Danio rerio: one gene and its partner. The protein of the gene in region 1 purifies or fractionates together with the protein of each later gene. This does not show direct contact. Links are inferred from orthologs where the notes say so. Each region holds a gene or a part of one and is shown on either strand. Other genes may lie near its edges.

The links.
Region 2: the proteins of heatr3 (region 1) and tmem186 purify together in Homo sapiens (co-immunoprecipitation; 3 studies listed by BioGRID and IntAct, counting the BioPlex papers as one, with this or other methods). This does not show direct contact. The link is inferred for Danio rerio from reciprocal best matches to the Homo sapiens genes HEATR3 and TMEM186.

The regions. Positions count from the first base shown.
Region 1 is NC_133182.1:38,112,173-38,116,457, forward strand, and holds the end of heatr3 (HEAT repeat-containing protein 3), read right to left. Parts: intron 3,960-4,285; coding exon 3,823-3,959; intron 3,745-3,822; coding exon 3,656-3,744; intron 3,563-3,655; coding exon 3,419-3,562; intron 1,315-3,418; coding exon 1,138-1,314; intron 782-1,137; coding exon 668-781; 3' UTR 507-667; downstream 1-506. UniProt on the Homo sapiens protein: Plays a role in ribosome biogenesis and in nuclear import of the 60S ribosomal protein L5/large ribosomal subunit protein uL18 (RPL5). Required for proper erythrocyte maturation.
Region 2 is NC_133197.1:27,568,357-27,571,188, reverse strand, and holds tmem186 (transmembrane protein 186), read right to left. Parts: upstream 1,700-2,832; 5' UTR 1,677-1,699; coding exon 1,668-1,676; intron 1,579-1,667; exon of another isoform or gene 1,503-1,578; intron 1,397-1,502; coding exon 719-1,396; 3' UTR 514-718; downstream 1-513. UniProt on the Homo sapiens protein: As part of the MCIA complex, required for efficient assembly of the mitochondrial complex I.

The DNA.
Region 1 (4,285 bases):
GTAGTAGGAATAAAATATCCTAATGAAAGTGAACGGCTGCCAGTTTGCAACATTTTTCAAAATATATTTTGTGTTAAACAAAAAAAGAAACCCGGAAACAAATGGAGGCTGAGTAAATGATGAAAAATTCAAAAGTTCACACTCAGATATTGCTTGATATTATAAGCAGGTTTTGCATGCTGTCCCAGGCCAGGAGAGAACTCTGAGCTCAGGGCTCATGTAAGGAGGTACAAGATCAGGTAGTTCTCAAGAGCTCCCCCTGGTAAAGGAGGAAAGGGGGTGGGGTGGGGGGATTCTTCAAAAAACAAAGGCGAGGGAGTAATGCTAGACGAGCTATTTACAGTGAGTTTGGAATAATCCAAGTAGTTTACAAATGATTACAGATGAGAGACCTGCCGCGATCAATCATATCACATGCTCCTCTCGAAATTAGTTTGTGAAACTTCATTTCATTTTTTGGGACAAACTGTGCTTTTAATTCTTAAAAGCACCACAAGAGGCCATACTGATAGTTAATGCTTTAATTAAAGCACTCATATGTTTGGTTTTACAAACATTATTTTATGTCTTCATTTCCTCACATAAACACTCTCACATAAAAATAAAACCAAAAAGGATTATAAACAGGAAATGCTAAATAAGAGTTGCTCTGCTGATCACTTAAATCTCATTTTCTTTGCAGGTTCTCCAAGTAGCCGATAAATCTCTTCAGGTTGATCCTTATGTTGTCCAGAACGCAAAGCTGATCAGGGCTGTATTTTCCTTTGCCTTCTTTTCGCAGCTGTGAGGAAACAAACGGTTAAACTGTGAAAAGCCTGCCATCTAAAGGCCGAAGAACATACAGAGATCCAGCAATGGCCATGCTGTGAATGGATAAAAGCAGCTGAAAAAGTACTTTAGAGTTATAAAGTAAAAGATCAGCCAACCAAAACAGATCTGTTGAGCTGGTTTTCAGAGCTTCTTTCTGTCAGGCAGAGATGTGCTTATGCAACAGAACTCAAGCTTGAACCTTGAGCTCAAGCCTGAACATGTATTGGGAGGTTTTTCTGATTTAATATTACAGCTTGGGCGTGTGAATGTGATGGATGAGTGCGCTTGTATATTCCTGGTAATATCTCTTGTTGGCTTTAAACAAACCTTGGCTCTAAACCCTGGTTGAAGGGCTTTGAGAGAAGAAAGCAGGTCAATATTTTTTGCAGCTTTCTCTGCTTCATCGCCATCGGCAAACACGTCGAAGAGAGCATCAAGAGCTTCCCCACACACTACCAGGTTTGCGTCCTTTGTTGCTACATTTAGTAATGCATTTCCAATCAGCTGCAAAAAGAAATAGGGACAATTGTACATGCAATGTGATGACAAATACACTCCAACAACACTGTTCACTGATTAACTTCAGAACGCACAGGCATATTTTATCATACATTTTTCATTTGTACATCAAAATATTTAATATACATCAAAGTGCTGTATAATGGCATAAATGAAGCCATTTGTAATAGTGAATACATTCTACTGAACATATTTAATAAAAACAATGCATTAAATTAGATAAGGTATGCAATATTTTTGTCCATGATAATATTCTGATGTTGTTTTAAGGTTGGGAGCTGACATTCTCTCAAAAAATGACATTTGCTGTTTGTTCAAGCTTTTAAAAAATGAGCTGAATGAGATTTTTGGAGTGACAACTTAATAGTTTTATGTTCAGTTCAATTAAATTTGTTAATACTAATTAACTTTATTCCTTCATGTTGTCCCAACACAAATCACATTAACAGTGTTAAGCTTACTCTAATGCAACAAATATAAAAATTAAAACAAATCTTAAATATCTAAAAGCATAGCCTACGTTAAAATGCATTTAGAATGACCCAACTTTTCAAGTTATCCAAGCAAAATACACTCACTGGCCACTTAATCAGGTACACCTGTCCAACTGCTCATTAATGCAATTTTCTAATCTGCCAATTACATGGCAACTCAGTGCATTTAGGCATGAAGACATGGTCAAGACGATCTTCTGCACTTCAAACCAAATCACCATTAACTCAAATAACCATTTGTTACAACTAAGGTATGCAGAAAAGCATCTCTGAACGCACAACGCACCGAACCTTGAGGCGGATGGGCTACAGCAGCAGAAGACCATACCAGGTGCCGCTCCTGTCAGCTAAGAACAGCAAACTGAGGCTACAACTCACACAGGCTCACCAAAATTGGACAAAAGAAGATTGGAAAAACGCTGCTTGGTTTGATGAGTCTTGATTTCTGCTGCGACATTCGGATGGTAGGGTCAGAATTTGGAGTCAACAACATGAAAGCATGGATCCATCCTGCCTTATGTCAAGGGTTACAGACTGGTGGTGGTGATGTAATGCTGTGGGGGATTTTTTCTTGGCAAACTCTATGCCCATTAGTACCAATTGAGCATCGTGTCAACGTCACAGCCTACCTGAGTATTGTTGCTGACCATGTCCATCTCCTTATGACCACAGTGTACCCATCTTCTGTTCGCTACTTCTAGCAGGATGACGTGCCATGTCAAAGTGTGAATCATCTCAGACTGGTTTCTTGAACATGACAATAAGTTCACTGTACTCAAATGGCCTCCACATTAACCAGATCTAAATCTAATAGAGCACCTTTGGCATGTGGTGAAACTGGAGATTCGCATCATGGATATGCAGCCAACAAATCTGCAGCAACTGTGTGATGCTATCATATCAATAAGGACCTAAATCACTAAGGATTATTCCCAGTACCTTGTTGAATCTATTCCACGAAGGATTAAGACAATTCTAAAGGCAAAAGAGGGTCCAATCTAGTATTAGTAGTAGTAGAATAGATTAGTGTATATCTCTGTAAGGGTTTTTTTGTTTTTACATTTATAGAATATGCCATAGTTGAAAAGATGGTTCATCCACCCAAAAATGAAAATTCTATCTTTTAATCATCCTCCACTTGTTTCAAACAGGTTTGATATTATTTATTCTGTATAAAATAATGCAAGATATTCTTAAGAATGTTGGTGAAAAACACACTGACATCCATAGTATTTTCTGATCCTACTATAGATGTCAATGTTTTTTTTTTGTTGGCATTATTCAAAATATCTTGATTTCTGTTCAACAGAATAAATAAATTCAAAAAAGTCATAAAAGAACCATTTAACTGTGAAAAATGGTGAGGAAGTGTTTTGTTTTTGGGTTAACTATCCCTTTAAGTATACCATACAAGTAAGTGCATTTTCCCCAATATCAACATATCAACTTAATAGATCAACTAATAATTACATCATATTTTTTGACAATGCAGTTTCAAAAAGAGTTTCAAAACAGGCAAAGCATTTTGTGTGTGTGTGTGTGTTTGTCAGAGTAGTAAAGCAGCTTTCAGTAAAATTCTAACAATCAGTATTTACCTGCAGAGTGTCTGCTGTGTTTTTGTCTTTGGCAAGTGAGCTTCCTGTGATTCCAAGAATGGCCAGAGCGTTAACCTTCACACTGACCAGATCGCAGCTGGTGGCAGCCTCACAAAAACCCATTAGCTGGTGTGGAGTCATACACTGCAGAATTCATAAAAAAATGCAGTGTTTTAAAAAACAGACACTTAAAATATTTTCACTAAAGTATGAATTAATGAAGATTGTGGTTTTCACCTGAGAGATGTTTTTGGTAGCCATGATCTGTAGCAGAGATCGGAGAGCACTGGTCACAGCCTCCAGGAACTCCTCATCCTTTAAAACCTCTAGAAATTAATTTATAATAACAGAAAGTAAGCAACTGCACTGCTTAAAGTGAATAAAAACTAATCGGAGATGTCTACCTGCCGAGCTGAAGACCAGTGAGGAGAGGTGCTGAGCCACAGCCTGCAGACTTGAAGCGCCACCAAGAGAATCTGTGTCCATAGAGGAGAGGATATTATGGAGACATGTCAGTGCCCGACACTGCACCCGCTGCATCCTAGTAAAAAACCAAAGCACAACAATGTCAAATTTTAATTTTAATATACAGTACAAACCAAAAGCTTGGACACACCTCATTCAAAGAGTTATTTAATTTAAAGACTATGAAAATTGTAGATTCACACTGAAGGCATCAAAACTATGAATTAACACATGTGGAATTATATACATAACAAAAAAAAAGTGTTAATCTACTTTAAGTCTGTCATATTCTAGGTTCTTCAAAGTAGCCTCCTTTTACTTTGATTACTGCTTTGCACACTTTTGGCATTCTCTTGATGAGCTTCAAGAGGTAGTCACCTGAAATGGTTTTTACTTCACAGG
Region 2 (2,832 bases), on another chromosome or scaffold:
ATCAATCAAATAACACAGAAGTACTGGGATAACAGTTTATAGTTTAGAATAAACCACTGATGTTTATGGTAAAAATTAAAATTAACGTCATATACATTTAACTTGACGCTCAAAAATAAAGGTTGTAAGCAGTAATTACATTATTTAACCAATAGGTTGAATTCAACCAGCCATCAAAAATATGCCACTGAATAATAATAAAAAATGATCCATCTAGCAATGAAACATGAAGTTTTATGAGTAAATAACAAGCATTTATTGAAAACGAGACTAAAAATAAATATGGGTTGTACAAATTATAATGTTAGATTTCTACATTTAGTGTCATCAGCAACAGTAGCAGAAATTGTGAATCTTTCCACAGTACTGAATATTTTACCATTTATTTATATTTAGCTAATTATTTCTTCATTTTTTTTTTTTATAAATATAAGGGTTCTTACTTTTGTTTTTTTGAAACCAAATGTTTCTTGCAGTGCAGTTTTTGTAATAAAATGGAAAAGAAATGACATTTGTCTCCTCCCCTTTTTGGCTAGTCCGATCTGTGACTAAAAAAAACATTATATGATCCAAACCGTAAGATTTGTGATCTGTTACATCACTAATTATTAATAAAATGCACAAAACAAAAGCTACATATACTTAACTTTACCATAAGATCTTTAATTTCTCACTTTGGGAAAGTTTCATATGACATGACATACAAAACTACACAAATTCATGACAAACTCCCAAAAACCTTCCCAAATGCGTGTCTATCCACCACTCGTCCCAGTCTGGTAGAAAAGTACATGGTATTAGAAGTGCTGTAGCGCTTTAACCGAAGAATTGATTCTCCCCTGGAGTCTCCTGAATCTCCCAGAGTCACAACATCTGAGACGGGTACATAAATGTCTCTTCTGTGACCCCAAAAGCTAAGATGTGACACCTTTAATATGGTCTGTGTTGAATCCAAATACATCATGCCAACCACTCTTCTGACAAAGTGGCTTATGGAGTACAGCATGACTCCAGCAAACAAGGCAATGCCTATTGAGCGATTTAAGACCAACACTGATGCCTGGCCCTGCAGGTGGAGGTAATACACAGTGGGCAGCAGGACAACAGTGATGCCCGTCTGTAAGAGTTTGAGTCTTGAAAGAGCCCGCAGGCCCCTGATTAGTGGAAATGCATAGATTAGACTGTATTTTCTTGAGGCAAGGTCAGAGGAGAATGAGGCCGGGTGAATCCGCGTGGTGTGTGTGGATGTGTTGGGCATCTGTTTACCCATGTGTGCCAGGCCGTTGTTGATGTTGTATTGCATGCGAGCACTTGAAATAAGTCCTGAAGGATGGCATCGAAAGCCATATTGAGGGAAATGACGGGAAAGGTGGATTAATCTTGTTGACATCATCATCTGAGGAGACAGTAAGCATCACAACAGTAGTTATTATTAATGTTAATTATTAAAACAACACAAAATATTTTGATAATGTAACCATCATGACTATTGACTATTTGACCTTGTTTATTATGTTGATAAAAACAGTGCTTGACAAAGGCAGTTGTTGTGTTGGCTCAGATTATGCGTTCCAGCTTCTTATATGCGATAATCATAGAAAATACATAAGCATAATTAAATAACGCGCATTATTATTAAATATTATTTCAGTTTTGAATGAACTCACCATGTCCATACAAGTTCAGTGCATCGCGCACTTCTTCTGTGAAGCTGGACATGAGTTATATTATGTATCGTTTCAAAATAAAAGTCCTTAAATCAACGCTTGTCAAAATCGTTTTTGAAACAAGTTGTTAAAAATATTTTAGAGACATGGAATCTACGTGCACTTTTTGTGAATTAGAGAAGGAATCGATAAAACACCTGTTTGTTGAATGCACATATACCCAAATATTTTGGTTTGATGTTGAACATTTTATATTTAAACTTACTAAATTAAAAATTCAGTTTTCTTGTAAAAATATTTTTTGATATTCAATAATAACAACTAAACCTTGGAGCAAAATTTGTTTATTAATTTAATGATAATATATGGGAAGTACCATGTACACAAACAAAACTGATCCAATGATAAGCCTAATATTTATTTGTTTAAAACTTATCTTATGCATATTGAAACCCTACAAGACATAACAAATAAAAAAGCTATAAGAATGTGTGCAATTCTGAAATAATTTTTCTTATGCAATTTTTTGTAATTTATATATCCCTTATATATTTATATATACATATATCCCGTAATTTTATTTATTTTTTATTATTATTATTTACTGATTTGTTCCTTTGATGTGAAAAAGTAAGCATTTTATTTCTCATTTTGCATGACATTTTCCTTGTTATTAATTATTCGGTGTCATTAATATTTAATTAAAGTGAAAATAAAAACAATTAATAAGCATTTATATATTATTATTCGACACGTTATTTCTAATTTTGGCAAAAATTTTAGCATTAAAAAACAATTGATTGTTTCAGTACCATAAAAGTGTCGTGGGTAACATCAAGGGTGCGAATTACAGGGGGGTTGGAGGGTGGGGGGATTGACCCCTCATTAACACTTCTTTGTCCCCCCTGAAGGACATTAAAACAAGATGAATAGGGGGGGTCAGCTCTTTAATAGCTCTTTAATTAAATATTGAAAATAAAAAATTTATAACATAATAAATATACCCTTATAATGGTTCATACCATGTGTGAAAATATAATCGCCCCAATCAATACTAAGAAAAAATATCATTCAACAACAGTCTGAAACTGGCACCGATAGACATCTCAAGTTTTCACAAAACACTTCTTGTAAAATAGTTGTATTTTGACCTTCAGCAACTTCT